Lepisosteus oculatus: one gene and its partner. The protein of the gene in region 1 purifies or fractionates together with the protein of each later gene. This does not show direct contact. Links are inferred from orthologs where the notes say so. Each region holds a gene or a part of one and is shown in the gene's direction. Other genes may lie near its edges.

Region 1 (3,752 bases):
AAAGCTGAGATCCTGTGATTGCGTGTGATACTGCCTGACTCTTCAGAGCTGCAGAAAAATGAATTGAGCCTGGGGGAAAGGAGACAGGGAATACGTGGACTGGAGCTCCGAGCACGGAGCACGGATCCCCCAGCCGAGGGATCGTGGACAGCAGGAGTCGGGCGGTCGCGGTTACAGTGTCATAAGGTTTAGTTTGAATGCCGAATTTGACCAAATACGCTTGCTATTGTGACGAAAGCATTTCATTTAAGTGTAAAATTAAATTGTAGTTTGTAGGTCGTTATTTTAAAACGCATATTAATGTAACTGCTTCAAGGAGACATACACTTCACACTTAGTAGCAACTTGGTACCAAAAGTCATTAAAGTACTGTAAACTGCATGTATGCCAAACACTACAAAACTATAGGGATGATGTTGTGTATGTACTTTACTACGGTAACCTTTTGAATAGCGGCCTATTTACGTACTCTCTTCTGCAACACCCTGATATTCTCGAGATAATGGAGTTCAAAAAGTGCAATAATAATAATAAAGATATTGTTCATTTTACACTCTGCTTCCTACTCGACTGAGAGGCTGTTAAAAGCACAGAAACCAGTCTTTGAGGGGTCTTTTGTGTGGTCTGGAGATGAACAGCACACACACACACTCAGAGGAAAACTGGAAATGTGTAAATATACCTTTAAAAGCCGGTTCATCGTCGTGTTGCTCTTTGTGGTTGAGAAAGGCAACTATGAAAAACCCCTCTGCCTCTGGCTAACATTCTGTAGGAGGAATACTTCAAAACATATCAAAATCACAATTTTCAATGAAGATTTTAAAGAGTTTCAAATCAAGACTCAAAACCTTTTTTAGAAGGACTTTTACTTAAACCGGGTCTGTTATGTACCTCTTTGCTCCTACTGTAACCCCATATACTACCTCTTCTCCTTTGCACACTCGTGCTTATATTTCATGTTTTTTTTTAATTTTGTTTTGTTGTTGCACAGTGAGGCGCTTTGAGAAGCCGCTTTTAAAGGTGCCAAATAAAAATAAAGTTTATTTATATATATGATTTAACCAGCAACGTGTATGGGGGGGGGGCGTTTGTTGTTAATACCCCACAACATGATCGAACCGACTTCCCCCGGCCGTTTTGGAGAAAAAAAAACATCCTTGATTTTACTCCGTAAAGAGTAAATCTGCGTCAAACACGTCCCAGGCTTGCGCGTACACCGCTGGCTGGTCAACGTGGGATTTGCCAGCCCGGTGGGTGAGGCTAGAAATCCAGTCCGCGTTTTCCACGCGAATCGCAAGAAAGAGCAGGATAATAGTTGCAAGAGCCCTCTCTCTCTCTTGTGCCATGCTGGGCGAGAGAGACACAGGGAGACATGCATTTACCCATATCCGGGTTAGAGAGGAAAGGAAGAAAAGTTTCATTTAAAACCTGGACAAAAACTTTCAACATGAAATCACACCGCGGGAGCAGGCAGAGCCAGTGAGACAGTATCGTTTCCGAGTACAGCCAGAACTTTACGGTTTGCGGGATATTCGTTCATTTGAGCACTTCTCTCTTGTTTTTTTCTCCTTTTTTTCCTCCTTCTGTGTGTTTTTTTTCTTTTTTTTCTCCCTCTTTTTTTTTCGGTCTAAGCCTGTTTGGATTACTGCCTGAAATGTTGAAATGATCATGGCCGCGCAAGTGACAACATCTCCGGCGACGACTGGTAGTAAAAATCCCAATTTATCCGGCGGTCTGAATCAGGATTTAAACTCTGGGAAATCGGGAGGGGGAACGGTACAGGGATCGGGAGCAATTCTGGGAGTTGGAGATGGAACTAACACTATGAATAATGTAGATCACCACCACCACCACCACCACCATAACGAGCTGAGCATGGCCAATACAACTTCTTCTTCTGCAAATAACACTTCGGACTTGCGAGAGAAGGAGGGCGTCAATAGTGCTGCATCTTTATCTTCTTCAAATTCGGCTACTTCTTCGAGCATGGAGACGGGTTTGATAGCGAATCACAAACTGAAAAATGTTGGTGGCGGAGATCCCCCTCCTCCGTCTCACCATCACACACCGACACAGCCCCAGCCACCACGATTCAGTCAGTTCCAGCAGCTCCATTCACACCAAATCCAAAACAACAACATCAACAACAACAGCAACAGCGGCGGCGGCAACCAGGCGCAGGTACCGGGGGAAGCGGAGAATCGGCAACATGGAGGGAAAGAGCATATTTTGGGAAACCAGGTCGGGCAGCAGCAGCCGCTGCTGAATAAAAGTGAAGAGGAGGGCCGTGCCTGCAAATCGGGGGATCAGATGGGCAGCAGGTACGAGCACGCCAACTTGGGACCAGCGAACAACAACAACAGCAGCAGCAACAGCAACAACAGCAGCCAGCCCCAAAGTGCTGGGGGGACGACTAGCACTGTTCCCGAGTTTAATAATTATTATGGCAACGCTAGAGGAGGCCCTTGCTTTGATCAACATGGCGGACAACAAAGCCCTGGGATGGGGATAATGCATCCTTCGGCTCCCAACAGCATGGATTCCGTTCAAAACTCCCACGAAGGGTACCACAACAGCCAGTACAACCACTACCCGAGCTACCGACCGGGCTACGGCGGCGCAGGCTATGGGATCATGAGCTCTCCCAGGCAGGGGAGTCACACGCTGATGGGCCCAGGCAGCAACAGCCACAGCAGCGCTGCTGGCCATGGCAAGATTGCTATGGCTGCTGCCTCGGCTCCTGGGGGCAGCGTGGGGGGGTTTCAGAGGTTCCCCGGGCAGAGCCAGCACCCGTCCGGGGCCACCCCGACTCTCAACCAGCTCCTGACGTCCCCCAGCCCCATGATGCGGGGCTTCAGCGGCGGCGGCTACCCCGAGTACAGTGGCCCCGCCGCGCCGCCACAGCAGCAGGCGAGCGTGGGGCTGGGCAAAGACGCGAGTTCCCAGTACGGGTCCACAGCCCACGGCTGGGGAGGACATCAGAGAAATCACCCTGTCATGAGTCCTGGCAACACTGGACAAGTTATCAGTAGACCTCAGGTAAATGTTTCTCGGTTTTGTACGGCGTGCTCTCGGGAAGCTCATGCTGAAGGTCTGTGTTTATCGTCTGGTTGTAGTTGCAAAACCTAGTGGGTTCGTCATGTCTGACTTTTTTTTAACGTGCTGAGCGCACATTTTTTTCTCCGTGTAACTAAATCAAATGGCTGTTTTCCTCTCTTCCCCTCCTTTTTCTTTTTTTTTTGGGGGGGTGTTGTTGTTGCTTTATTTCGTACCGGCTTGGCTGCTGCTACTGTTGTTGTTGGCGGTGTTTTTTCTTTAAAATATCTGGATTTATTCGCGTCCACCCCTCTCTCCTGTGATGTCGACTGTTATTAGATTTTAAAGTTAGGACGGGGGCTGGAAGTTCTGTCCAAGGTGACTTACGTGATCGCAAATGCACAAAAGATCTTCATAATAATCAGGTATTTGAACGTAAACGCACCCGTGTCTTACGTTATATTACTGTTTACATATATTTTACAGCTTTTTTCCCCCGTCCTTCTTTCGTTTGATCCTCGTGGAGGATTACGAATCGTCCCCAGGAACATTCTCGTCCGCCGCTTAAACTTATAAAGTATTATAAATGTGGCGTGATGAATATTCATAAATCGGATGTGTCCTTCTTGTATAATATTTTTAAGTACATTTCACTCGCCTGCGACTGGGAAATTATATGATATTTAAGAGATCGGCCGTCACTCTTTGAATCTCAG
Region 2 (3,752 bases), on another chromosome or scaffold:
AAACAAATTGTATAAATCCTATAATATGTCATTGTCATATTAGGCAGATATAGCATGTTTATAGAAACAGAAAGTCACTTCTTCCTGGATAGTATCACAGCAACCCAACGGCTATCTTGGGAAAGCAAGGTGCAGGGAGAATAATCCCCAGAAGAGACTGCACTTTGACACAGGGACTTGTCCTGTGGATGGGTGCTGCTTCAATGTGCGAACTGTCCTAGAGTCAGAGGCTGGGTAAGTCCCTTCTTCCAGAGTGACGGCAGTTTGCAGTTACCTCACTCCATTCATCACGGTTAACCTAATGTTTCATATCAAAACCCAGAATGAATGAATCATTGTACATTGATGTACTGTAAAAGGGTGGCATGATAGTCAACGCTACCACCTCATTTGATTTCGGAGTGCAATACCTTCTGCGTGGTGATTACATGGCTCACACCTTGGTCAAGACAATATGACATCCTAGCTTTTGGAAAAAGTGCCGTGACATCTTTTAATGTGTGTCGTTTTCACAGTGGGCCCTGGTTTTACCTGGCTTTCTATTTCTAATACGGAAGCAGACAAGAAATCTCCCAAGCACAACGAAATCTTGTCTGTAAGGAGCATTCAGCCTGAGTAGTGGACTGTAGGTACTGTATCCTGCATTGGGCCATGAATCCATCGACTGTCTCTATCATTAGGTGAGAAAGCCTTGATAGAACAAAAAAGCTGTTTTATTCTATTAATTTTGACTTGGTCTTTTATTTGCTCTTACAGTTACGGTTTCAGGTCTTCGCAATGAATTATGAAGACAACAGCTGAGCAAGCAAACCAGAAGATCAAAATGGACTAAACGGATGCTCTATTGCAAATTTTAAAAGATGGCTTACATATCTTGTTTTTGTAGCTACTTGTACTACTGATCGTTATAAAAAACGATTTCCACAACATTCCACTAATCGCAAACCGGGCAAACTACCCCGGCGGTATACACGCAGCTCTAACCGGAACTAAACAGCAGAGGGCGCCATATAGAATTCTTTCTGCACTGCAAACCACGGAGTAGGAGGAGGCTGCGTGTTATTACAGACACACGCAGCCAAACCCTGTCTGATCGCTATCTTTAGACATTGGTCAGGCTCTTAAATTCTTTTTGTGTGCCAACCATTTAAAATAAATAGGGGGCTTGAACAAAGCCTTAGATTCATGGGAAATGATGACACCGACAATACAACCAACGTTGAGTTGCTCAAGAGGGGAGTGAGTGAGTTTATGAAAAATACCCAGGAACTAGTGTAGGGTTAAAAAAAAGATAGACGTTTAACTGCATCCAATTTGTTTTTGTTCGTATTTATGTTGTTAAGAAAAGTTTGCCGCTTTCAAGGGTTGTAGTAATCGCCGATCTTTGTTTTTTCTTTTAAAAAAAACTAAAGCTAAATTTGCTTTAACATGACTTCAAGAGGTGTGTACCCAATGAATACAGGTAGCCCACTGAACCCTAATATTAACCCTATGAATTCGGGGGGTGTCAGAATGGTTCCTTCAATGCAACAGAACAGCGGATTCCGGGCCATGGGCTCAGCTGCTTCCCCGTACCATCAGGTAACTGCGGTTTGTTCTTCTCTGCGCCTAGTGCGTAGACCAGTTTATCGGGTAAAAAAAGTTTATACTGTAATTTAAATTATTCGATTGATTTCCGGTCTCTGTCATTAGGTTAATCGGTATGATCTATGGTAGCGGGAGCTTACAGTACGTTGCTTTAACGCGGTGTGTCCTGTGTATGTTACTTTTTTTGTTGTTTGTTTTGTTGGTTTGTGTTATTAATAATCAGTCAATTTAAACAAGTCGGGTGTTCCCGTGAAAACTAGAAAAACAACAACAACAATGAGCTGGTGTAAGTGAATTAATACAATGTACTTTGCAGAATTGAGCTGAAACGCGGTTAAAGCACAACTTTATCCGTGTTTCTACATTAGACCTCACTGGACAAAAAAAAAAAAGACAGAAACGTTTGTATGATCAGCATGGCACTAGAGAACTGGAGTGCATGGAAACGACACGACTACATCAATAACGTTTTTTAAAGGAGGCATCAAGTGAGAATTGTTCCGTTTTGTCATTTTTTGCAAAGGCCCGAAAAACACAAAACCAGAGTGCTAGGTTGATAAAGTCCTCACTTCCGCATTTATGAAGGATCGCTGCCTGAATGTGTGTGAGAGAAGACAAATATGCCGTTATGTTGCGTGTGCGTGTGTGTGTGTGACCGAATAAAACACCGAGAGCACCGAAACACCAGAGCATAGCAGTAAAAGAGTACGTTAAGTTGTCCCGGAAAGGGATATTCGTTAGGACATGTTAACTTTAACGCTTAAAGAGGAACCGAAACCAGTCCCACATGACATAGCCTGTCCTCATGTGGTTTGTATTTTCTGTTGCGAGGGAGAGCGAGCGCTGTCTTCGTGACTTGACACTTCTTAACTCCCCTCTCTCGTTTCTTTCTGGTTACATTCGCGTTTGCACTGATACCTCTTCGGTTGCTACATGGAAGGTATCCGCTGAAGACAGGACAGTTCAGAAATGGGAAAGCCGAGGGGGAAGGGGGAGGAAAGTCGGTGCAGGATAGTAATCTGTCAAAACTAGCTGGGTTTCTACGGTATGTCAGTGCCTGCTGTGAGTCCGCGTTCTGCTCTCAGTACTTCTAAAACTTACAGTTCAGTAATTGCATCTGCCTCCGTGCTTTCATTTGGGGGAGGGCGAATCCTGAGTGAAACTGCTGTTTTGGGAAGGAGAACTTCAAGTCGTACAGTGTTCGCACGGAGCAGAACACAAACGTTTCCATTTCTGCCCAGCTACTCAGCATCCGATAAACGTGCTGGGCTCTAATAAGAAATGTCAGACGCAGATGCGTCTTTTTGCAGGAAATCCTGTCTCGATCGCTAATATCATATCTCGGCATCTCTTGCACGATCGAATCGCTAGAAGACGAGAAAAAAAAACAATCTTGAATGAAGCTGAAGACATTGCAAAGCGTTGTACTGTATTTTCGCATTTATATGTGATACAAAATATCTTTCCGTGGCGATATATAGCACAGTTATTGTAATCCCTCCCAGAAGAGCATTAGGAAAGTATTTTTACCAAATTAAAAACAGGAAACTGCCATTTTAATTATTTAAAATAGTTCATGCATTGAAGTGCGCTGACACGTGGACAAATGTGTCAGAGCACTTGAGGTTTCTTAAAGCAAGAAAAGCGCTCAAAGAAGAAATTAATGAAAAATGAATCTGTCCCATATCTACCTGTTCAGAACTTTCTCAACGAACATTTTCAAATTACCCCGTTCATTACCTATTAACTCATGTACAAATCTTTTATTGTACTCTTAGCAGTGTGGCAATTAAAGGTAATTAAAACAGGCCAAATATAAAGTTGGTATTCTGTAAGAAGTTAATATTTAAATCCCACACACCTTGCAAAGCAGAGCTAGACTAGTTTGCTAAATCAGATTTCAGAAGTGTAATACTGCTCTTATCATTGATCATGGAAAAAGTGTAAGAAGTATTTGATCAAGTATGATTAATTTAATAGAGTCAAACAAGGCAGCTAAGGGGAGTTTAACTGCAGGTGAAAGGATATTATTCATTTATGCGGAATTTGTTTTGTGTGCAATAACACATATTTTTTTGGTAAATACCAAATATTTTATTTTTGTAATTTAGTACTTGATACTGTTGAAAACAAGCATGAATGTACTGTAACTTCAAAATTGATCC

The links.
Region 2: the proteins of arid1b (region 1) and smarcd2 purify together in Homo sapiens (affinity purification with mass spectrometry; 5 studies listed by BioGRID and IntAct, with this or other methods). This does not show direct contact. The link is inferred for Lepisosteus oculatus from reciprocal best matches to the Homo sapiens genes ARID1B and SMARCD2.

What each region holds. Positions count from the first base shown.
Region 1 is NC_090697.1:11,358,053-11,361,804, forward strand, and holds the start of arid1b (AT-rich interactive domain-containing protein 1B), read left to right. Parts: upstream 1-1,195; 5' UTR 1,196-1,662; coding exon 1,663-3,039; intron 3,040-3,752. UniProt on the Homo sapiens protein: Involved in transcriptional activation and repression of select genes by chromatin remodeling (alteration of DNA-nucleosome topology).
Region 2 is NC_090723.1:2,688,636-2,692,387, reverse strand, and holds the start of smarcd2 (SWI/SNF-related matrix-associated actin-dependent regulator of chromatin subfamily D member 2), read left to right. Parts: upstream 1-1,063; 5' UTR 1,064-1,428; coding exon 1,429-1,581; intron 1,582-1,663; exon of another isoform or gene 1,664-2,331; coding exon of another isoform or gene 2,332-2,397; intron 2,398-2,431; exon of another isoform or gene 2,432-2,632; intron 2,633-3,752. UniProt on the Homo sapiens protein: Involved in transcriptional activation and repression of select genes by chromatin remodeling (alteration of DNA-nucleosome topology).